4 linked regions of the Caenorhabditis elegans genome follow. Changing the gene in region 2 together with the main gene of any one other region gives a genetic interaction. Each region holds a gene or a part of one and is shown on either strand. Other genes may lie near its edges. The genes, in order: metl-18, egl-15, rpc-2 and ZK418.6.

What was found.
Region 1: changes in egl-15 (region 2) and metl-18 together harm fitness more than expected from each alone (negative genetic interaction), as found in Caenorhabditis elegans (one large-scale study listed by BioGRID).
Region 3: changes in egl-15 (region 2) and rpc-2 together harm fitness more than expected from each alone (negative genetic interaction), as found in Caenorhabditis elegans (one large-scale study listed by BioGRID).
Region 4: changes in egl-15 (region 2) and ZK418.6 together harm fitness more than expected from each alone (negative genetic interaction), as found in Caenorhabditis elegans (one large-scale study listed by BioGRID).

The regions. Positions count from the first base shown.
Region 1 is NC_003281.10:3,424,107-3,428,618, reverse strand, and holds metl-18 (protein-histidine N-methyltransferase), read right to left. Parts: upstream 2,882-4,512; 5' UTR 2,879-2,881; coding exon 2,714-2,878; intron 2,049-2,713; coding exon 1,896-2,048; intron 1,846-1,895; coding exon 1,727-1,845; intron 1,721-1,726; exon of another isoform or gene 1,627-1,720; intron 1,528-1,626; coding exon 1,429-1,527; intron 765-1,428; coding exon 611-764; 3' UTR 525-610; downstream 1-524. Other genes in the region: K01A11.1 (Spaetzle domain-containing protein), read left to right, coding at 80-199; golg-4 (GRIP domain-containing protein), read right to left, coding at 3,876-4,013, 4,350-4,512.
Region 2 is NC_003284.9:11,014,755-11,022,424, reverse strand, and holds the start of egl-15 (receptor protein-tyrosine kinase), read right to left. Parts: upstream 6,026-7,670; 5' UTR 5,985-6,025; coding exon 5,897-5,984; intron 5,844-5,896; coding exon 5,782-5,843; intron 5,735-5,781; coding exon 5,573-5,734; intron 4,990-5,572; coding exon 4,920-4,989; intron 4,846-4,919; coding exon 4,495-4,845; intron 4,481-4,494; coding exon of another isoform or gene 4,286-4,480; intron 4,211-4,285; coding exon 3,975-4,210; intron 3,901-3,974; coding exon 3,661-3,900; intron 3,613-3,660; coding exon 3,451-3,612; intron 3,405-3,450; coding exon 3,297-3,404; intron 3,248-3,296; coding exon 2,811-3,247; intron 2,743-2,810; coding exon 2,664-2,742; intron 2,609-2,663; coding exon 2,315-2,608; intron 2,139-2,314; coding exon 1,942-2,138; intron 1,892-1,941; coding exon 1,808-1,891; intron 1,276-1,807; coding exon 1,171-1,275; intron 1,117-1,170; coding exon 954-1,116; intron 909-953; coding exon 795-908; intron 703-794; coding exon 576-702; coding exon of another isoform or gene 532-575; and 7 more. UniProt on the Caenorhabditis elegans protein: Receptor tyrosine kinase required for larval development. May phosphorylate adapter protein soc-1 which in turn may result in the recruitment and/or activation of phosphatase ptp-2.
Region 3 is NC_003281.10:5,555,598-5,563,383, forward strand, and holds the start of rpc-2 (DNA-directed RNA polymerase subunit beta), read left to right. Parts: upstream 1-1,767; coding exon 1,768-2,499; intron 2,500-2,912; coding exon 2,913-3,820; intron 3,821-4,060; coding exon 4,061-4,150; intron 4,151-4,199; coding exon 4,200-4,482; intron 4,483-4,779; coding exon 4,780-4,974; intron 4,975-5,245; coding exon 5,246-5,624; intron 5,625-6,083; coding exon 6,084-6,642; intron 6,643-7,160; coding exon 7,161-7,305; intron 7,306-7,786. Other genes in the region: hach-1 (3-hydroxyisobutyryl-CoA hydrolase, mitochondrial), read left to right, coding at 1-379, 432-805, 1,004-1,224, 1,275-1,393.
Region 4 is NC_003281.10:7,076,060-7,080,580, forward strand, and holds ZK418.6 (G-protein coupled receptors family 1 profile domain-containing protein), read right to left. Parts: upstream 2,779-4,521; 5' UTR 2,777-2,778; coding exon 2,705-2,776; intron 2,594-2,704; coding exon 2,507-2,593; intron 2,091-2,506; coding exon 1,957-2,090; intron 1,912-1,956; coding exon 1,748-1,911; intron 1,695-1,747; coding exon 1,564-1,694; intron 1,512-1,563; coding exon 1,295-1,511; intron 983-1,294; coding exon 775-982; intron 727-774; coding exon 555-726; 3' UTR 513-554; downstream 1-512. Other genes in the region: ZK418.13 (Pollen-specific leucine-rich repeat extensin-like protein 1), read right to left, coding at 237-290; ZK418.7 (G-protein coupled receptors family 1 profile domain-containing protein), read right to left, coding at 3,018-3,162, 3,208-3,632, 3,811-3,941, 4,027-4,190, 4,236-4,369, 4,422-4,511.

The sequences.
Region 1 (4,512 bases), on a different chromosome or scaffold from region 2:
GGTTCCCCAAAAATTTCCACAAAAATTGCGCGTAAAATATAGTGTTTTTCACACACACTCAATTCCTAATTTCTTTTAGGTACACGTGTCTCGTCGTAGTGTTGGTTCAATTCATTGGCATCCATTTACAATTCCAGATGCTCCAATCTCTTGTCAATGTATGTGGCCAGTGGATCGATACGGTCATCAGGAGTTCTAGTCATTTTAGCCCCTTTTTGCGCACGTGGTGTCAGGATGTCCCATTACGGTTTGATCTACAAAAAATGCGGGAGTTTTTTTCTGCCTAAAAAAAGTGACGCCATCACGTTCTTAACCATACAGCATCAGTGCAGAACTCTGCGTCTCGTCTCCCGCATTTTTTGTAGATCGACGTAGATCAAGCCGAAATGAGACACTCTGACACCACGTGTTGCTGCTTAAATTGTCAGTACAAAACGTTCCATTTTTCCCATTTTTCTCATTATTCTCTCTACTTACAAACTAATGGCGGGTAGGTGTGCATTTTACGACTGATTTTTTTTCTTGAAATGAAACAGTTTTTATTGAAAAAGGACAATTCTTGAACAACTTAACAAATAAAAAACACAACAAAAAGACGAAAAAATTCAAATCATTTTTTCCGAATCTCCACAATCCGTCTGGGCACTGAAGCGGCGATCACTTTTGCCTCAGAAGCTTGAAGAATTCCGCGTTGATTGATAAATTCGCAGAATGCTGGAACACTTCCGCCGACGCCAAAGTAGAAGAATTTCGCGGCGAACCATCTGAAATTGAAGGGCTTGAAAATGGAAGAGTTTGAATCTCTTCCATGTGTCGATTTACGCAGCTCGTGTAGTCCTCGAGGAGAAGTTTTCGGCAAAAATTCGTATTCTGTGTGGGTTTTTTCAATGAAAAGAGACTCATTTTCAAGGAAATTCAATATTTTTTATATTTTTCGACACGATTTTTTAACCAAAGAAAAATGAAATTTATTTTAATCGGAATATTAAAAAAAACAATTTTTTGGGCAGAAAACATAGATTTTTAAAAAAATTTTTATTTAAACTATTTTTATCGAAAATTATACTTAAAAACGCTAAGAAATTCTTAAGAATGGGTCTCGCCGCGAAAAAAAGTTTATGGTAAAAAATCTCAGAACTTTTTGATATTAAAAAAAGGGGAAGAAGCGTTAAAGCTAATTCAACATTTTAAAAATTTTTTCTAATTTTTAAAAAAATTTTTCGACAAAAAAGGTTGTTTGTATACAAAAACCAACAAAAAACGTTCACTTTTCGTGATCAAAATCGATTTTCTGCGATTTTTGTCTAGCAAAATTGCCAAATATCATGTTAAGTACAGAAAAAAAACGGTCTCAAGCTTTAAAAAAAAAACTCTCTTCTCCTCGAGGAATACACGAGCTGCTGCGTAAATCGACACAAACGATCTTACGCGACTCCGTCATCCTTGATTGTTGCAGCGACCGCATCGTGGAGAGCTTGATAGTCATCTTCGTTGTAAATGGTTTCCGATGAGAGAATGAAGTCGAATCTGGTAAATGGAATATAACATAAAGTTCTGCGTCTTAGGCCCCCCCCCCCCCCCGTCTCCAGCCGGGCGCTATACAAAACGTCCACCAAGACGAGTCTACATCGCCGCCCGGTTAGCTCAGTCGGTAGAGCACCAGACTCTTAATCTGGTTGTCGCGGGTTCGAGCCCCGCATTGGGCTGATGTCTTTTTGCTGCTTACTTTCTTCCGCTCAATCGATTCGGAACCTCTTCCCATCCCATTGCTTCTCCTTGAACAACTGCTGAATGCGGATTTTCTTCGAAGTTTGGAAGTGTGAAGAACTCGATGACTGACGCGTTCTGCAATGTTTTAGATTAATTTTTTGTTTTAACTCATCTCGTAGACTTACAAAGTCCTGAGCGAAAACTTCCTTAGCTCCGTGTACCGCCGTGAGAATTGATGGAAGAGCTGCTCCACAGCCGAGCTCTAGAACTGATTTTCCGGCGAAAAGCGTTTGATTTTCTTCGATATAGTCGCAAAGATCGACGGTGCATTCCCAGATCTGCAAATTTATTTATTAAGTAAAAATTAAATTTAAAAAAAAACATTAAATTTTTATATTAGAAGAATTTTTTTTTTTTTTGCAAAATTGGATTTAATTTCAAAATTTCAATTTTTTTCTCAAATTTTTTTCTGAAAGAAAATTGAAAAAAAACGCTATTCTCAAAATTTTTATGCCACTAGATTTCGAACGCTTCAAATTAAAAAAAAATCGCAAATAGAATTCAAAAAAACATTTTTTCTGAAAATTTGAATTTCTAAATATAAAATTCGCAGAAAATCCAAATATATATTTATTTTGAATTTTTTAAAATTTTGGGAAAAAAAATTCAAATTTCAATTAGAATCAGTGAAAAACACGAAAAATAGGACCTAGTTTATCGGATAATTTCACAAAAATTTCTGAAAAATTCTCAAAATTATTTTTAAAAATTCCAGAAAAAAGGAGACTCAAAAAATTTAAAATGCAGAAAAAATCTAATTTTTTCAAATTTTTTAAAACAATATTTTATCGATTTTTTTTCGATTTTTTAAAATTTTCTTATGTTTGTTCAAGTTATTTCCATTTTTTTTTCACTTTCCCAAATAATTTTTTTTAATTAAAAAAACTCCAATTTTCAGTCAAAAATGTCGTTTTTTTTCTAAAATTCACGTCACAATCAGCACCTTAAATCCACCCTCATATTTGTGAACTGTAATATCGGACGTTTCCATATTTTCCAGCTCTTTTTTGTATCTTTCTTCTCCATTAAGCTCATCAATTCCCATTCGAATTTCCACTTCGTTCAAGTAGGAGATTTCTCGGCCATTGGTGAGCTTCAGCACGTTCATTCTGAAAAAATCTGGAATTTTTCGAAAAACTTGATTTTTTAAAAATTTTGGAATATCTGGAAATGTTTCAAAAAACCCGGAAGTTTTTAAAAAATTCTGAAATTTTCCAAAAAATTTGATCTTTTTTTTTTTGAAAAATATGATTTTTTTTAATCTGGAAATTTCCCGAAAAATATCAACTATTTTTCAAAAAATCTGAAAAAAAATTTTTTAACCCGATAAAATATCAAAATTGGTAAAAATCTAACGCAAGTTTGAAAAAATAAAAATAATTTTTTTTTTCGAAATAAATTAAAAAATTTTATTACATATATATTTCTCGTATATATACACAATAAATTGTTCGAAAAAAAATTGAAATAAAAATCTAAAAATTTTTCGGCGATTAATCACAGTCGTTGGGAGGATAAAGCAGAACAATATAGAGGAAACAGAATTTCTACGAAAAAAAAAATTATTTTTAAAAAAATTAGAAAAAAATCGGGGGATATTGTTTTCAAAAATCTAATAACCGGTAGGGGGTATATCCAAAAAAAAGAATTTTGTTAATTTGAAAAATATTGAAAAAAAAACTCTAATTACGGGGGTTAATCTAAAAGAAGACGTAATTTTGCCTGTAATTGGCTAATTTTCTCTCAGTGTCGATTTACGAGCGTTTTTTTTGATAGACAATTCGAAAAATTCCAATTTTTAGAAATTTTTTTTTTTTGTGGAAAATTTAAAAATTAGTTTTTTTGAATTTTTTTTGAAGAAAAAACTAATATTGCGATTATCGCAGAAAATTTTTTAAAAATAATTTTTCAAAAAATCGGTTCAAAAAATTCAATTTTCGGTTTTTTCCATAGAAAATATTGAAAAAAAAATCCAAAAATTTTCGACAAAAATCGTAAGCTCCGCCCATTTCTTGGCTATCACATTCTGAGAGAAAATTAGTCAGTTTCACACACAAAAAAACATGAAAAATGAGAGAAAATTGAGCAAAAATTAGAGTTTCGAATTATCGATTCAACGCATGGCTAACAGTTCCACCAACAGCTGCCGCCCAGCTTGCCTGCCTTGATTCTTCACTGCTTATCACATTTTTCATTTGAGACTCGTCGAATCGGGCCACAGTTCCAATTACACGGGCCAATGTCTGCAAAAATTTAGAAAAATTAGTTCAAATTTTACGAGATGAGCCAAGAAATGGGCGGAGCTTAAACTAAACATTTCAAAAAAATTGACTTAATTTTATTTTTTGAAAATTTTAAATTTTCTTTTTAAATTAAATTAATTTTAAATTCTCCGCCCATTTATTGGCAATTTTTCAAAAATTTTAGAAGTAGCTCCGCCCATTTATTGGTTTTTTTTACTTTTTTTCTAGATTAAGCTCCGCCCAATTATTGGCAATTTTTCGGAAAAATTTCAGTGTAAAATTGCATGAAAATCATGATTTTTCACCCAAAAATTCAAAAATTCAATTTCCCCTTACCACAGATTCTTTTCCAAGAGATTCTCGATTAGTCATGTATCGATATAGTACATTTCGTAGATATTCAGCTTCTGCCGGATCAGCAATTCCGTGTAATTCCATAGATTTCGTTCTGCCAGTTGAAGCATTTCCATTGGATCGTGGCGTCTTCTCGTTCCGTGAG
Region 2 (7,670 bases):
GATATTGAATTTTAGACGTTGTATTATAATACTGGTGAGTTTGATCTGCAAATGAAACTTTAAAGGTTACATAGCACAACATTTATAAGTGTCATGTTAGTCTGGACACTTGACGGAGGCAAATCTGTAAGCTAACTTATGTGATTTGATGTTCTGCAACCCATTACACCAAACAAAAATGTTACAGGACAAAAACACACAACACGGAAACATGATTACCACAATGGACTTTTAAATGACATCTGATAACGGCGGAGAGACTACTATGAGTAATAGTAGTGATGCTTCTCATCATCTATAAATTCATTGAAATCGTTGCCCTGAACTTAAATGTCAGTAGCGAACTGAAAACGAACCTAAACAAGAAGCTTTGTTAGAGGGACGGTCGTACGAAGGCCAAGCTGGTGAACCGAGGGCAGAGTCGAGAGATTGGTTGGCAACACCGCTGACGGCACGAGCTAATTTATCTTGTCGAACATACCCGTTTCCGATTGGTTCGTTGAGCACTTTGTGGATGTACACTAAAAACGGTCAAAATTCGGGTTTGCTCATGCTATTGTTGTTTGATGGAATACGTTGAGAGGTTTCCGGTGTAATAATGTGATTTTTCAGCATATTGTCATTGCAGTAGAGATGATTCGGATCATTGGGTGGTTCTACAGAAAAATTGGACTCATAGTCGTCGCAAATTGTGTGTTGTGGCTGCAAAAACAGTGCTTTATGGATTCCGAATTCATAGGTTAAATTCTTTTAAAATTTAAATACGTTATGTACGAAATTACGTTTTGATCTACCTCTGATGGAAGATTCACTGGAGCTGAAAGAGGGCGATGTTTTCTCTTTTTCTGGAATGACTCCATAGGAGAAACTGGACCTGATGCCGTGGATCTTTCGGAGAAAAATTGATCCTGGAAAATATCCTCAAAAATGTTGTCACAGATGTATGACCTTACATTAAATTCTTGTGATCCCTCAATAGTCTCATTTGTCATTGTTAACATCCAATCCAAATAATCTACGATTGTTTTAAAAGATGGTCGTTCTTCCAATTTTTCTCTCCAGCAGCTGCACATCAAATGGTAGACTTCTTGGGGACATAAATGTGGTGGCTCCATTCTGCAAAAACATGTCAGACAGGTGAGATTTGCATGTTTTTCTCAATATTTTCACCTGTATCCTTCTTTGAGGTTAGCATAGAGTTCAGGCATGGCAATCGTTGGATAGGGAGTTCCACCAAGTGTCATGATTTCCCAAAGGAGAACTCCATATGACCATCTACAAAAGTATCAATGAGTCATTATAGTATTAATTTTGGTACACAACCACTGTCGTGCCCTAAAATTGCCCCAAAAAATGTAAATGGAAAACTGAAATAAAAGCGTGCCAAGAAAAATGGTGAATGCATTGTTCACAGAGTGATAGTTTTGGAAGCAATAGTATTTTTTTTTTTTGATATTCAAATTTGAATAATATATTTTTTGTTAAATTAAATTGTCGTTCAATAGTTTTTTATAACTATTTTTCCACAGGCGGGAAACAACTTCAATTCAGACATATCACAAATATATTTATGTTTAATGTTTTTCCCTAAATTAAAATCCTAAAACGTTGTATCCTAAAAACCCAAAATAAGTAAAATAAATATACAGCTATCCCGATTCAGATGCTCAGGTTGACTCAGGATGATTAACTTGTGTGAAAAGACAAATAAGACATATGTGATTATATTGAAAAATCAATTTTTTTCAAACGTGAACCTGGAAAGGACCTCCACGAAACTTTTCTACCACAGAAAACCATTACTCACACATCACTTTCCACGGTGTATACATTTGAGTCCAACGCTTCTAAAGCCATCCATTTAATGGGAAGTCTGCCGTTTCCACGTTTTCTGGAAGTAATATATCATCAGTAATATATCATTAGGAATAATGTTACAACCTATAATAATCGTTACAGTGCACATCTCTCGATAGTCCAAAATCCGATATTTTCAGAACGTGTCCATCACCGACGAGAACATTTCTTGCTGCCAAATCACGATGTATGATCTTCTTTGATGCCAAGAAGTTCATTCCTTGAGCCACTTGCCAAGCAAATTGTACAAGATGGCGTTGTGTCAAATTTGGTATGAGCTCCTAAAAATGAAAATTTCAGCAAAATTACTCTGGTAAATTTAAAACTGACTAAGACAGGTTTACTGATAATGAGCAATCAGGAAAACGCTTTTCTACAAGATTTTCAAAGTTTGATGAGTATTTCAAATTTTGTCAGTGGAAAAAATCATATTTTATTCAAAACATAAGCCACTCACAATGTCATCCTTATCAGATGCTTTTCGTGGTTCCAAATAATCCGTCAATTCTTGGCTGGACTTTTTTGCCTTCTCTTCCTTAGGTCTATGTGCTCTCAAGAAATCGCGCAAATTCCCATGCTTGCACAGCTCAACAACGACATAAAGCGGACCAGCGCCTGTACAGCATCCAATCAATCGCAACACGTTCTCATGTTCTCCTATAACTTTGAATGTTTCCATTTCACTGACCAAGTCAATGAGCTCTTTTTCGTGAGCTGACATTTTCAATTTTTTGACAGCAACTGCGATTTCCTGAAACGCAATTAAAATTTCAGATTTTCTTGTTTTTTTGTTTTCCCAAAATTACATTGTTTTCTGTTTCTTTGTATGTTGCTTTCCAAACTTCTCCAAATGCTCCCTCGCCAAGCATGTGAACCAAACTCAATCTAAACGTTGAAATTTAATGTTTAAATTGAATTCTTGTCTGGCTGAATGTATTAAAGATTTGACCCACTTTGATCTTTCAACTTCCCAAACTGGATCCGAATCAACCTCGTATTCCGAAAGAACAGTGTTTTCTGAATTCATACGTTTTCTTTGTTTTCTCGCTGCTTCTTTCTTTGTAATTGGAGTCTCTATTATTTGAATTTGATAAGGTGATGGCTCATCATCCGAATTCTCATTATCTTCATTCATTGGCCTTTTGCTAACTACGACTCTTTTTTTTCTTGCCACTAATCCAACAGTATCATCCATGAATCCTTTTTTGTGTAGTGTTTGTTTGCACACCATAAACAAAATTCCAAATAATGTTGCAGCAAGCAGTAAGAAAAGCAGAATTGTTGTAAATATATAATCGGATGTTGTCCATCTATCTATCTTCGGTTCGTCACCAGTGAGCAAATGTATGGCCATAAACTCATTCACCGTTAAAGTGGCATTCGCCATCGACTGTAAAACTCTTAATTTGTTCAACTAGAAGGTTCAATCAATTTCTTACCATCCCCAGTGAGTTTCCACTGAGACAAGCATATATTCCCTGATCATCCAGCGACACATTGAAAATAGTAAGCGTCGATTCATCACCAACGTGATGGACGTGCGCTTTCTGAAACGACACTTTTTGATAGATGAGAACATGTTTCATAACATACATCAAAAGTGTCCATCTCTGTGTAATTGAACATATACTCTTCAGCTGAATTGTTGTAGTAGCTATACGACCCATTGATTTTGTTGATGCGTACCCAAATAATATGAGGCAATAAGTCAGAGACAACTTTGCAGTGGAATGTGGCAGTGTCATTAATATTTACCTAAATATAAAACATTGAAACTATAGATGCCGTGAGGCAAAATCTTACTGATTGATTAGCCAAAATATTCGGAACGATAATGGGCGGTCTTCTCATTCTGTTGACTATGATCACATGGAAATACTTTTTTGCACTTCCAACTTTGTTCAATGCTTCACAATGAAACTCCCCAGAATCTGCTACGACAGCATCTTCCACTTCTAAAGACCATCTATTGAACTTGAATTCGTATCCGCCGGACCGAGCACTACTTTTCTTCAACATTTTGCCGTTTTTGTACCAGATAATCTGTGATCAAATGCATTGATTGAAAATCCAATGTTTCTTTACGTGAAAAATTTCAAGTTTTTCATGAATCGTACCTGTGGCTCAGGGTATCCTTTTGCGCGACAATTAAGTTTCAATGTTCGTCCTGCTGGTAGAGCATGCGTTTCATTAAACAATACAATGTTGTCGTTTGACTTGAAATATGGTGGCTCTTCCGCAGTAATATTCAGCTCAGTGAGCCCCGCATCTGGAGCAACCGGTTGTGAAACACTATAGTCTTCTTCTTCGTCTTCTTTGTTTTCTTTTTCATCAGCATTGATAAATTCGGTTCCTAAAAACAAGTTTACTGAGATATATAAGAAGAAAATGAAGCATTTAAAATAATTCAACCACTGATGTAGCCTACCCAAAGCATGATTGATCTGTCTTAATCTCAGAATGTGCCTGGCTCGAACAATTTTCTGTTCATTATTCATCTTCTCCCATCCGCCCAATTGGCTTTTCACTCTCCTCATTTCCGCAGGAGGTAGCAATTTTGGCAATAAATGACTAATATCGAATACTCGATGCTCAGTGAGCCAATCGAACAGTTTAAGTGGATCTGAAATAACTTACTGGATTCGGATGGACTTTCTTCAGAGTCATGCACGGGCACAATCACATCATCTTTTTTCAAAACAACACGCTTTACTAAAGGATCGTCCTCGGGTTTCCCAGGTAAACCAAAATCCGAAACAGGAGTAGTGTCAAATTCTTTGCAGTGATCACCAAAGCAAGGAATCATTGGCAACGGTTTTCGTGCTCTATTTATCATGCGAGATGCGTACTTTGAGCAGACTTCTCCTGTTACCGCTGCATAGTTCACATCAGATCGTTTTGCTTCTTTGTTGTATTTCCATAAACAAACACATTCCATCGGAATGTTCAAATGATGAATATCGGGAAACAGGAAGTAATCACAAAAGTCTGAAAACAAAGCACACCATGCATGGAAGAAATTATGCTTGCACTGCAAAGAATCGAGCAATAGAGATACTTACCAATAACTTCAACTGTAAAATTTCGTGATATTTGTCCATATGCGTTGTGTACGCGGCAAGACCAAAGACCCTGCAAAAATATTAGTTTTTAAACGTTTTTAAACGTTTTTAAATAAACGTTTTTTTTTAAGTTGACAGAGTCAAAAACTGCTGAAAAAAGTTCTCAGTTTGTTGGTATTTTTGAATTAATATATATTTTTGATGATGCTTAAAACTCATGGTAGTCGGTTATAGTTTTTTTTCCTATTTTCTTTCATATTATTCTTGCAGAACTAAACACGCGCAAGAGATATCACACAAACTTTAGCATCTACAAGATATTTTTTATTGGTTAAATGTTTTTTTTTAATAATTCCAAACATTTTTCAAACATTAAATCATTTTAATTATCATGTTGTATTGTTTCTTTACGGTATTTTAGGTAACTCCAGTATTTTAGGTTAAAAACAAGAAAAACCAAATTTGAAACGAGACATCGAAATACAGTTTCATAGTGTATGTTAGTCTTGAATTCCTATCAGTCTTTGCACTCTAAATTGTCAATTAAAAAAATAGAAATGCATGCAATTCTAATAGGAGAAATGCGATACTTGGTGTTCTAACCACATTGTTCAACAAAAAAAAAACCACAAAAATAATAAAAAATCATATACCTGATCTGAAACATCAATATTCTTCAAGTGAAGCATCATCCTGTTATTATCTTTCCGAATTTTGTCTTTATCTATTTGATCATTTTTGAGTAACTTGTCATTACGATACCATTCGACAAAGGCAGAAATCTTTGACGCCGCGGTTTGACAGTCAAATTTTATCTAAAACTGTGTACATCTATTGCTGTTAAATATTTGTTCCACCAAACCTCATCTCCAAGAAATACTTCGTATCTTTCGTTTGCTACATGCTTGAAACGGGGAATATTTTCTGTAAAATCGAATAATATGAAAATAAATTAGATTTTGTGACAACTCTCTTACCTCTGTAATGACTGGTCAATCCTTGAAGAGAACAAGAAACTGTAGAAAGTAAGCCCACACCGAGGCAGGATGCAAGGAAATAACTCATGATGATATGTATCAGGCAAACATTCGAATTTCTGCAATCTTTTGTATCTACTATTTATCTACTAATAATCAAAATATTAAAACACTCAGAAGGAGAAGCTGTGAAACTTTTGAAATTGAATACATGTGAGAGAGGTGAATCAGACCGGTACAAAGATTTATTTGTTGGGTTCTTACTGGTACCTCTGCGCGAGCCATGGGTTATATATTACTGGCTCCATACCCCACCACCATATGTAACAAATTGGCGACACCCGCGCAACGTTTTCAAAAGTTCCGACCCTCTGGGTCATAAGGTCTAATGATCTCTGGGAACAATCAAGAAACTAAAGCAAATCATAATTAGAACCGTCTAAATTTACGCATATGTTGCTCATAGAAAAAAAAAACGAGCAGCGAGCGGAGGGCGATAATAAAAAGAGTAAAAAGTGAACGAGCGTCAAATTGAGACGACGAAAGACGTCCAGATGTTAAGATGTTGTGGATTCGTTGTCTTCGCCGACAAGGTGGAATGACACAATGCCGTTTCGATTGATATCGAAGCAAAACCTTGAATAAGAAGTCACATCTGGAGGTGTTTCTTCCGGATGCAGTGCATATGTTACGGAAACAAAAACCTTTCAACATTTCCGGACACAATGTAACTTTTTATTGCTAGTCTTGCAGTATGATATAGCGAATAAAGTGGGTCTATCTTTTCAATGATCACGGCTATGTTATAGAGTTATGTAATTTTTTTAGAGCAATTTGAGGTTTTATAAAAACTCGTTATGTATAATAAAAACAAATTTTAGCAGCTGATGTAAGCGTAATAACGCTATGGTAACTTTTCAAAACCAACGTCATACATTGCATATAAAATAGTTTAAATTAGATCAAATTTGAGATTATAAGGCTAGTTTTCAAAATAATGAGATACTTCTTTAGTGAAACATTCTATCTAAATATTCCTAAAAAAATAAAAAGAAAATGTTCATAAAAAACTTAGGTTGTGATTAATGATTAGAACATTTAGTTATAAACCAGCTTTTTGATTATTGAAGTGTAATTTAATCTGTGCGATTTCTAGGCACTTTTTTGTAGAAGTTATGTATTATAAAATTGTAATTTCAAAACTTAATAGTTGCACAACAGGGTGTGACCAACATTCCAAGAGATGCTTATCGCGGATACGAGATGGTTAGTTGCGAGTCTAATTAATTCAAATGTCACATCATTTACTCAATTTTAACAGGTAGGTGAATGGATTTCTTGTTTCAATTTTGTCATTAAACCAGTTTGTTGCCCCCAAGAATTCCATTAGAAAAGAGTGATAAGAAAAAGAGAAGGGGGCATTACAATCATGAGACGGTAACCGACAACATAGGCGTCGGTTTTTTGTTGCTGTGGGTCTTATTTTTTGGAGTATTTGGTATGTGTCTACAGGCTAATCAATATAGAAAAATGCAATCAGAAAGTGAGAGAAAATCAAGGGAATTAGAAAAAGAAGGAGAGATAAACGAGAATGGACAATGATGAGAAAAGAGATGCGTTAAAAAGAAAAGGGGTTAGTGATTGGGCATTGCGCATAAGGCAGTCAGTCGCCAAAAATGATAGAACACGGGATAATTGTAGGCGACATATTTAGATGCAAAAGCTAATTCAATTTCGGTTTTTCTTTATTTACGCGCACCTGTTTGTGTTGCAT
Region 3 (7,786 bases), on a different chromosome or scaffold from region 2:
GATGTCGTTCTCCGTGAGCGCCGCCGCCAAGTCGGAAATCCTTGTCGACACACACGGATCGAAGAAGGTGGTTACATTGAATAGGCCTAAAGCGCTAAACGCGTTGAACCTCGAAATGGTACGAGAGTTTTATCCCAAACTTCAAGCCTGGAATTCATCTTCCGATGTGGATCTTGTCATTTTGAAAGGATCCGGTGATAAGGCGTTCTGTGCTGGAGGAGATGTTCTTGCCGTTGTGCGATCTTTCAAAGATTCGGAGAGTGGAAAAGAGTGCACAATGCACAAGGATTTCTTCCGCGAGGAGTACATTTTAAATCATTTAATTGGAACTTTGAATAAGCAATACGTTTGTCTGATTGATGGAATTGTGATGGGAGGAGTAAGTTATCTGCAACTATTTTCTTTTCAATTTTTTAAAAAACTTGTTTCAGGGTTGTGGTCTTTCTGTAAATGGACGTTTCCGAGTTGCCACTGAGAAAACAATGCTAGCAATGCCAGAAACCGCACTTGGACTCTTCCCAGACGTCGGTGGATCCTATTTCCTTTCAAGGCTCAAGGGAAACCTCGGAATGTACTTGGCACTCACTGGATATCGTCTTCTAGGTGCTGACGCTTTCCATGCTGGTCTTGCCACTCATTTTGTGGAGTCTTCGGAACTTGCGAAATTGGAAAAGGAACTTGTGAATATTAAGGATGTGACAGAGAACTCTGTCGATGAAGTCATCAGATCGTTCGAGCCAAAGAAGATTCCAGAATTCAGTCTGTCCAAGAATTTGGCTCAAATTAGAGATTCCTTCAAAGCAAAGTAAGATATTTTGTCACCAAGATCACGTGTATTTGAGTTGGAACAAATTAAAAAGTAGCATTTCATCGAATTGATTTATTATTGTTTCTCAGATAATATTAGTTTTAAGCAAAAACTAGGAAAGGGCCAGTTTTGAGGATTCGATAGCACACAAAAAATTACATTTGCCTAAGATATATAAAATAATTGATTTTTCAGAAGCGTCGAAGAAATCCTCGCAAGCCTCGAAAAAGACGGATCCGACTGGGCAAAGAAGCAAGCAGCCACTCTAGGAAAAATGAGCCCAACTTCCCTGAAAGTAACTCACCGACAAATCACCGAAGGAAGCAAGATGAGCTATGCAAAGATCTTCACAATGGAGTATCGTCTCACTCAACGATTCCTCGCCGATAAGGATTTCCATGAAGGGTGCCGAGCCAGTGAGCAGAGATTTTGTAGGGTTTCATTGAAAATTTGACTCATTTTTCAGTTCTCGTTGACAAGGATCGCAAGCCAAAGTGGAATCCAGCGACGTTGGCTGATGTGAAGGATTCTGTCGTCGATAACTATTTCTCGCCATTGCCAAATAATTCTGATTTAAAATTGTAGAGGCCAGAATTAGCGGAAAATTGAATTTTTAATGGAAAGCTAAAAAATCAGGGAAACCCATAATTTTTATCGGATTTCCTCGTTTTCCTATCTTTTCACCCAAAATGTTGATTTTCCCCCATAATTTTTACCATTTTAATAGGAACCCCTTATGTATTTATTTTTAGAAAAATGTCTAGCTATAATTTAATTTTTCCGGGTGTACAAATAATTTCCGTGCCTTTTTCAGCTATTCGCCGTATGAATATAAAGTTTTTTTTTGTTTTTGAATTTTATTTCCAGATTTCTATTGCAAACTGTTATTTTCTGTTTTTGTACCTCTTTTTCAAATAATTTTTATTCTAGAATTTCAGATTTTCAATACCAATTTTCAGATGACAATTGGCCAAGTGAACGGCCGCGCTCGCATAAAATCCGAGTGCGGCAAGGATCAGAAATGCATGCCACTCGAGGACAAATGGCTTCTCGTTCCCGCGTTTTTGAAAGTTCGAGGACTCGTCAAACAGCATCTCGTCAGTTTCGATCATTTCGTGCAGGAGGAGATCCGAAGTATCATGCTCTCCAATCAGAAGATCACTTCCGATGCAAATCCAAACTTTTATCTCAAATATTTGGATATTCGAATCGGAAAACCCAGCAGTGAGGAGGGTCTCAACATGACTCACGATAAGATTACCCCTCAAGAATGTCGACTACGAGATATGACCTACTCGGCGCCAATTTCAGTGGATATTGAGTACACACGTGGTAATCAAAGAGTATTCAAGAAGGATCTGATCATTGGTCGAATGCCGATTATGCTTCGTTCGAGTAAATGTATTCTCAGAGATCTTGCCGAAGAAGAGCTTGCAAGAGTTCAAGAATGCCCATATGATCCAGGAGGTTATTTTGTGGTCAAAGGAAGTGAAAAGGTTATCCTGATTCAAGAACAACTCTCCAAAAATCGTATTATGGTTGGAAGAAATTCAAGTAAAGAACTGCAGTGTGAAGTACTTTCGTCGACGTCCGAGAGGAAAAGTAAGACATATGTGACTATGAAGAAGGGTAAATATTCTGTTCGCCACAATCAGCTCACCGATGATGTACCAGTTTCCATCATTTTCAAGGTAAATTTTGAGAATTTTGATGACAACTGAAAAAAAAAATGTTCGGCATTCATTCCTAAATATTTTATTTAAAAAAAAAAACATCCAATACAAAAACATTCTCCGAAAAATATTTTTCCAAATTTTGATGCAAAAAATATTCTCAAAAAATGTTTTAGAATAAAAAATAATGAAGCTTTCTTTCTTTCTGATTGTGAGAAACTGAACATTTTACGATATTTTCAATCGAAATTCCTCAAAAACATTTATTATCGAATCTGGAGTTTTTCAGATTTTTTTTTCCAAAATTCGAGTTCGCTTTTTTTAATTCAAGAAAATTATTACAAAAAATAGGGAAAATTTTAAAAAAAGTGTAGCATTATGTTAAAACAAAAACTAAAAACCGCTTCCTTTTCAAAGTTTCAATTTTCCAGGCGATGGGAGTCGAATCAGATTTTGACATTGTGAGTACAATCGGTCACGAGGAGAAGTACGTTTCAGCATTTGCTCAAACTCTCGAAGAATCCATAAATGCCGGAGTTTATACCCAACAGCAGGCACTCGCATATGTTACCTCAAAAGTCAAGGCTCGTAAATTCACACCATTCGGATCACTTCCAGGAACTTCAGTGAGCGTCTTGACTCCACCGAAAGAACACGAAGCAGTCGATTTTCTGTCCAATTCAATGATCACACATATTGCTTGCCCAGATGGAAATTTCAAAATGAAGGCGATTTATTTGGGATTAATGACAAGACGACTGATTCAAACGGAACTCGGAGAAAATGGGCTTGATGATCGGGATTTCTACGGAAATAAACGTTTGGAGCTCGCTGGATCATTGCTTTCGTTGCTGTTTGAGGATGTATTCAAAAGATTCAACTCTGAACTGAAAAGAATTGCAGACAATGCGTTGATGAAGACAATGGCTGCACCATTGGATATTGTGAAGCATATGAGACAAGATATGATTACGAATACTATAGTGAATGCTATGTCGACAGGAAATTGGATTATCAAAAGATTCCGAATGGAACGACTTGGTGTTACACAAGTACTAAGTAGATTGTCATATATCTCAGCACTTGGTATGATGACAAGAATCAACTCGACTTTTGAGAAAACTCGAAAAGTCTCTGGTCCTCGATCCCTTCAACCATCTCAATGGGGAATGCTTTGTCCGAGTGATACTCCTGAAGGTGAAGCTTGTGGTCTTGTGAAGAATCTCGCTTTGATTAGTCACATTACAACTGATTCCGATGAGAAACCCGTTCTCAGATTGTTACTCAATTCGGGAGTCGAGGATTTACATAATGTGCATTTCTCGCATGTCAATAAGCCGTGAGTTTTTACAAATTAAAATTTTAAGTGTGAAATCTTGAAAAATAAAAGTTTTGAGAATGCTAGTTTTGAAAAAATCGCATATTTTAATCAATTTTTATAAATTTCTAAAATAAATTATCAATTTCATAAAAATTAGATTTCAAATCGAGTTAAGGTTTGACAATTTTTGAAAATTACTAGATCCATTTTTTTGTGTTTTTTCCTAAAAAAAAGGTTATTTTTATCGAAAATTTTCAGTGAAAACACGTTGATCTTCTTAAACGGAGTGCTCATTGGAACAGCTGTGGATCCAGAAAGAGTGGTGAAAGCCGTCAGAGATTTGAGAAGGTTTCAACAAAAAAATGTTGCCAAAAAATTCATCGAATTTCAATTTCAGAAGTGGACTCCTGTCAGAATTTGTTTCAGTATCCCGTTCTCTAACCAATCGTTCTGTTTTCATTTCATCAGACGGTGGCCGCCTGTGTCGACCATATATTATTGTCAAAAACGGAACTCCAATGCTCACACAGGCTCACGTGCAGGAACTGAAAGAGGGAAAAATGATTTTTGAGGATTTTGTTGATGACGGAATTGTCGAATATTTGGATGTAAATGAGATGAACGATGCGTTGATTGCCGTTTATGGGAGAGAAATTGGCCCAGAAACTACACATTTGGAGGTACGTTTTTGAACTTTGTGAATCTAAAAATGAAAAAAATTAAATCGAAAACTGGTTGTTCTTTCCTGTAAAGAAAATTCAAAAAATTTGGTAAAATTTGTCTGAAACTTAAAACTATGTGAAAAAAGTTTAAATTCTCATTTTTTTAAATATAAAAAATTGAAAATCAAATTATTTAGAGCTCTAAAATTCTATAATTCAAGGAAATTCCAACATTTAAAGATTTTTATCCTTAGTTTAAAATAAAATTTGCACTTTTCAGTGTCTGAGCTATTAATAATCTTTCAAAATTTCCAGATTGAGCCATTTACTCTTCTTGGAGTGTGTGCTGGTCTTATTCCATATCCACATCATAATCAATCTCCACGTAATACTTATCAATGTGCTATGGGTAAACAAGCAATGGGAACAATTGCCTATAATCAACAGAAAAGAATTGATTCAATTATGTATCTTTTATGTTATCCACAGAGACCACTCGTTAAGTCAAAGGTTCGTTAAAATTGAAATATTTTAAAATTTATGAAAAAAATTTGATTAAAAAATGCATGTTTCATTTATTGAACTAATGTTTGTGGAGAGATATCGTTAATAATCCTGAAAATAAAAATAAATCAATTTCCTGAATTCCGAAAAATAAAAAAATCAAATCGGAAGTATCCGCTATATCTTTCTAATCAATTATTCTATTCAGAAATTTTTAATTTGTTTTTCTTTTAGAAAATTATCAATTGTTCAAACTTTTTACATCACAATTTTCCAGACAATCGAACTGACAAACTTTGAAAAACTGCCGGCCGGCGCGAATGGAATCATCGCAGTGATGTCATACAGTGGTTACGATATCGAAGATGCTCTTGTGCTCAATAAAGCTTCACTGGATCGTGGTTATGGTCGTTGTCTGGTCTACAAACATGTGAAGGGAACCGCCAAAAAATATCCGAATCAGACATTCGATCGTCTTCTAGGACCAGCATTGGATCCGAACACGAGAAAACCAATTTTCAAGCACAAAAATCTCGATCAAGAGGGTATTGTATTCGCCGGAGCACGTATTATGCCGAAACAGACGATTATCAATAAGCACATGCCAGTTGTCAGTGGAGAAAGTGGTCCTGGAGCGTCGGCTTCTGCCAATACAAGTATGTTGAAATGAGCATGACGAATTTGTATAAGGAAAATAAAAACGGAATGTACAGTTTCGAGAAGACATCTATTTTTTTAAAAGTTTTACGAAAAAAAACACGAAAAATATAAAAAAAAAAGAATAATAAACAATTCCCAGACCAACCTCGTAAAAATGAAAGCGAGTTTTCAACAGAAACCCTGTTTTAAAACTTTTTCCAAAAAATCTGAAGTATTTATAGCATTTTTTAATTTTTACCAATTAAACAAATGTTTTAAAAAAAAACTCAAAGAAACTGTCTCCGTTCTTTTTTGCGAATATAAATTTTCTAACTTTTTTACGTTCACAATTAAATAAAACTTGACATTTATTCCGTTCAAATATTCAATTAATTTAATTTAAAACGAAAATTTAAATATAAAACTCTGAAAAAGTAAAAAAAAAAACGTTCACTAACAATTCTTTAAATTTTCAGTCGGAATCGCTGGACGCCAAGTTGACTACAAAGACGTCTCGATCACGTATAAAACTCCAACTCCATCATATGCGGAACGAGTTCTTCTTACCTATAATGAAGATGAAGCTCATTTATTCAAAGTTCTTCTTCGACAAACCCGTCGGCCAGAACTTGGAGATAAATTCTCATCTCGACACGGACAAAAAGGAGTATGCGGATTGATTGCTCAACAGGAAGATATGCCATTTAATGATCTTGGAATGGTGCCAGATATGATTATGAATCCTCATGGATATCCATCTCGAATGACTGTCGGAAAATTAATGGAATTGTTATCTGGAAAAGCTGGAGTAGTGAATGGAACATATCATTATGGAACAGCATTTGGTGGAGATCAGGTTAAAGATGTCTGTGAAGAATTGGCTGCTTGTGGTTATAATTATATGGGAAAAGATATGCTGACAAGTGGAATTACTGGACAACCATTATCTGCTTATATCTACTTTGGACCAATCTATTATCAGAAGCTCAAGCATATGGTTTTGGATAAGATGCACGCCCGTGCCAGAGGACCGAGGTGTGGAGAGATTTTGAATTTAGATAATGTCTTGTCTGGAAATTCTGAATTTTGGAAAGAATTTTCAATTAAATATTTAAAAATTAAGTTTAGCAACAAAATCTGAAAAAGAAAAATTTTTAGAACAGTTAACTCTGCATTTTCCAACTTTCCTTTAAAACTTTTGATGTAAAACAATGAGGAATTGCAACATTTTTTTAATTAGAAAATTTGGTATCAATCAAAATTCACTTATTTTTATCATGGTTAAAATTTCGAAAAAAGCCAAATTGAAAAAGTTCTGAAAAAGGAATTGACAAAATGCTCGAAGCTTAGGAAATTAGGGGAAAAAAGAATCAATTTTTCATAGTGGAAATACATTTTTTTCAAATCCAATTCGCGGAAATGTTATGCATATTTTGGAACAAAAAAAACCATTTTAATTTTTCTCACATTTTTTAAATTAAAAAAAAAACTTTTTTTAAAAATTTTTTTCAATTTATTCTCAGAGTTTCTTTTAAAAATCTATAAATTTTCAGAGCCGCATTGACTCGCCAGCCAACAGAAGGAAGATCACGAGAAGGAGGTCTACGTCTTGGAGAAATGGAACGTGATTGTCTCATTGCCTATGGAGCATCGATGCTGCTTATTGAGCGTTTGATGGTGTCATCAGATGAGTTTAAGGTAAATTCCCTTACCGAGTTTTTTTTAAAAGTTTGCTACTTTTGTGTGTGTGCGCGCAATTTTTGCTCATCATTACACTAGCCGTAACACTCTCAAGTGGTTCTTTTTTGCGAAAATGAGGAGCGAAACTGTTGCGGGAGAGACTGGGAGAAGCCTTGCGTGGGTTGACTTTGCGGGTCGACTTTTCTTGGAAACTGGGTTGACGTTTTTTGGAAAGGTTCTTGAAAATTTTTGATTTACCGCAGAGAAAATTATGGATTTTGTTTGATCATGAGAGAATACATTTCCCGACTTTTATCTGAAAATATCGAAAAAAAAGGTCGGAAACCGATTATTAATTTTTTTTTGAACTCCCACTTTTTTATAAGAACAGAGAAATCGATTTTAAAAAAAGCATTTTCCCTAAAAACTTTTTAAAAAAAGCAAAACTTTCTATTTTAATGGCTCTGAATCTCTGTTGCTCGGAAGTTAAAAAAAATCA
Region 4 (4,521 bases), on a different chromosome or scaffold from region 2:
TTACTATTCACATATGTCTGCGGGCCAGACAATAAAACACCTTTTGGTGTTCGTTCCAAAGTTTAACATTGCGGACACACGAAATTAGAAATCTTCGTATTGCGATTGACCGATTTCGTTATGAATTATACGCACATCGCGATGTAATTGTGATGTCCCGTGGCCGCGAGAAAAAAAACTGATGGCCGAGTGTTCCCTTCTCACGGCCATGTGACAAAAGCCGATCTTTCCCCCACCTGCGGATTCTTGGCGGCCTCTCGTTTTTTCTTCTTTTCTGAGGCTTGCTGCATTTGTCCTATTGTTACCAAGTTATGAATAACGCCAATTTGAGGAATGCGTGTTGAAATTGGTTGAATAAATTGAAATTGAATCAAGATAACTTTTTTTCGCACGGTTTCGAAAAATGAAACGAATTAAAAGTGAACACGTTTTGAATAATTTAGTTAAATTGTGTGTTACTAGATTTACAAATGAAATGTTTTTTTTTGGTTGATATTTTGAACTTTTGTTATTACAGGAGGTAGATTTTTTATTGTGTAAAACTGATTAAATATTCACAACTTTTCGACTTCAGAGTGGTCCTCTGAAACTTCTGTGATTGATGTGGTTCTTTCTTTAGATTTCCTAAAAATCGATGGAAATTTTGAAAATTGTTTGATGAAAACGCCTCGCAGCTTTTTGTCCGATAATATATTAATGACAGGATCAGCAATCATAGCGATAAGCCTGAAAAATATCTCGTGTAACAATATCATATAGATTTTCTCAACTTACCAAACAATCGCTGATATACTTGCCATCATTTCAACGTCAATAAGGAGATAACTTAGACGAAATGTTTTACAGGGACTTTTACATCCTTCTCCTAATGATGAAAGCTCTTTCAGATTTACAAGTGCAACTATACAAACAATAAGAATAGGAATAGTTCCAATGGCAAAAGTTATCATATTCATACTCAATCGACGCATCGCAATCATACCTTAAAATCAGAAAGTTCTTCTTTATTTAAATAGAATTGTTGTGGGATAGAGGCATCTAGAAAGTTCTAAAAAGATGTGAAGTATAGATTAATGAAAGATATTAATTTCTTATTTTCTTGAGGAAATGTTAACAATACCAGGAATTAAATATCCACAGCACACGAGCTTTGAATTTTTTTTTTCAAATACATTTAAAAAATGATCTTTTGAGTTATCTCCGGCAAAGAAAAGTAGAAATTGTCAAAAACTCTCGTAAATCGAAAAAGCAGAAAAAGAACCCCAAAATCATTAAATTTCAATCCAAAACTTACTATTTGAATTGCATCTAGCTTGAACCATAGAAGACTTTCGAACTAATTGATGAATTCTTGCCATCATTGCAATATATAAACCGATTACTGTACCATAACATATCGATAACATAATCACTATCACAATTGCAAGCGGCTGCTGACAAGATTCAAATGAGCAGGTAAAAGGAGCAGAGTCTGGATAGAAAAGTGTTGCTCCCCACATTCCAACAAAAACCTAGAATACTATTTTTTTTTACTAATCACAATTGATGGACAAGAAAACAAACAGATGTAACAGTTGATATTATCCAAATTAATCCAATAATTAGCCAGCAATGTGTAAGAGTTATCGTAGTCATATAGGAAATGTGATGGGCTACGGCCATATATAAAATTACTGTCAGAACTATATAGATACCTGGAATGCTTAAATGAAAGTTTTAAGATTTCTAAATTAGCGATTAAACGAACCAGTAATTGACATAAACGTGCTACCTCCGATAATAATAAAAATCATTGCTGAAACATAATTAAATCCGTTAACTTTCCAAACAATAAGTATAACATAAAATAATACAATGGCAAAGATATTTGATGATGATCGACTCATTAGGAATGCCTCTCTTTTTTTGAAACTGAAAATGTTTAACTTGCAGAGATTTCGCTAACAATTCTCATACCCCATAGTTTCATATCTAAAACATTTGATTTGAGCTATCAAGTATCCTAGATTTATAATAAATGTGATAATTGACAAAACCATCGGTATGATGGCAAGAAAATAAGTGCTAAACGTGTCTGATCGATGGAGTTCCTGGAAAAATGTAATTTACGTTGTTTTCAGAATGACAAAAGGTTTAAAAAAAAGTTGATGAAACTTCAAAATAGAGTGTGAAGCTAAAGTAAACTAATTAGCTCTATAGAGTAGAAGTCCAGCAAAGGAAACATATTTTTTCTCCAAGTTTTATTCTTCAAATACGCTTTAAGTATTTGTACTGTATAATTACATGGTTTCGAACTTTCAACAAATTTCAAAGTTACTCAAAAATTCAAGTTTTAGTTGAAAATCAGACAATTTGCCAAAAGTTTGCCAAAACAAAATGTTGAAATACACTACTGGTATACACTACTTAAATGTTGGTATACACTACTTAAATACATCTAGAACAAGAGCTAGGATTCTAGAGCTTTGCTAGAACATTTTCAAGATATCTCCACTTTAATTCATACCTTTAACAAATAACACGGATCCGTCTCCTTATCGATGTCACACGTTGCATAAATTTCGTCCCCATCCACAAAATATTGAGAGCAGTTCTGATAATTAGTTAATATATTTATTTTTCCATGACAGACGATAGAGAAAATAGCACAGCGTGTGAAATCTAATACATTATGCTGGGGGTTCGCAATCGAATCAAAATTTACCTGAAAAATGAATGGAATATCATCTATCATTCCACCAACTCCTTTTTTGTATGAACATTGTTCTCCAAACATTTCTAAAATATCTCAAATTTAAAGAAGGGAAAACAAACGTTTATCAATAGAGCACACATGCTACTCGAAGAAAACGTAGATTTTTTAAATGTACAACAGTAATAATGCAACTATTTATCAATAAACCATGAGACCAGCAAACCAACAATTCAAAATAACCAGAAAAGTGAAATATGGAACCCGTAGTAATATTACTAGCTCTATAGAGGATTTAAAATTCTAAACGGCGTGAATCAAATAATTATTGATCATCCGTAGAGATTGTGGATTTTGTGGAAGCTCGGCGAATTCGTTGTGAGACCCGGTTAATCTGTTTGGCGAATAATCCACGCATCTTTTTATCAGCCAAAATGTTTATAACTGGATCGATTATCATTGCAATTAGCCTGTAAATAACTGCAATTTTTAGAATTATGTACCTCAAAACTTACCAAACAATTGCAGCGACACTTGCCAAGATTTCCACTTCAACAAAGAGAGAACTGTGCAAAAAAGTCTTACAAGGGCCTTTACTCCCTTCTCCCAATGATGATAACTCTCGAAGATTTGCAAGAGCAACAATACAAACAATAAGAATAGGAATACTTCCAATTGCAAATGTGATCATATTCAATCCAAGTCGTTTCATTGCTGTCATACTATTTGAATTTGATCGTGCTTGAATCATTGAAGATTTTCTAACGAGACGATGTAATCTTGCCATCATTGCAATGTAAAGACCAATTACTGTACCATAACATAGAGATAAACCAACAACTATGATTATGGCTAATGGTTGTTGGCATTTCTCAAATGAACAGGATATTGGAGCAGATTCTGGGTAGAAAAGAGTTGCTCCCCATAGGCCAATGCATATCTGGAAACGTTTTTCAACAATTAAAATTATTTACATATTCCTAGGCAACAGAAAGTCGCTGATAAAAGTTTTTTTCAAATCTCAATTACAATTGGAACAGTTTCGCGATAATTTTCAAAGTGAAGAAATTCTTAAAATTTGTCTTAAATTACTACAATTTGAAACTGGAAAAACTTACAGATGAAGCTGCCGAAAGCAGCCAAATCAATCCAATAATAAGCCAACAATGTGTGAGAGTTAGTTTTGTCATGTACCAAAACTGATGTGCAATTGCTGTGTAGAGAAGGATTGTGAGACCGATGTAGGTACCTATAAGGTGCAAGTTATAGTGATTTTAGTTGAATACGAAAGTTTTAGATGCAAACAATTTCAGATGAAACAGATAAAACCTTACCTGTTACTGATAAAAAGTTGATTCCTCCAATTAGAATGAAAATCATTGCAGATGTATATACAAATCCGTTGGCTTTCCAAACGATAACAACCACGTAGAATAACAAATTAGCCAGAATAATTGACAGAGATCGACTTATAAGAAACACTTGACGCTTTTTGAAACTGAATATATTTTATATAACACAGACAGTTTCAATTATATAATACCTAGTTTTCTCCTGCGTAAAACATTTCAATTGTGCAATTAAATATCCAATGTTTAGAAGACACGCTATAACTGAAAAGATAATGGGAAGAATTGCCAGAAAATAAGTACGGAATTCCTTCGCTCGGTGGACTTCCTAAATTTATATTATTGTAGAAAACCCTTCAAGTTTCAATCTCGCAACTAACCTTGAGCAAGTAGCATGGATCGGTTCCATTTTCGATGGGACATTCCGCGTATTTTTCATCTTTGCCGAAGATAAATATACTCGAGCAGTTCTGAAATATT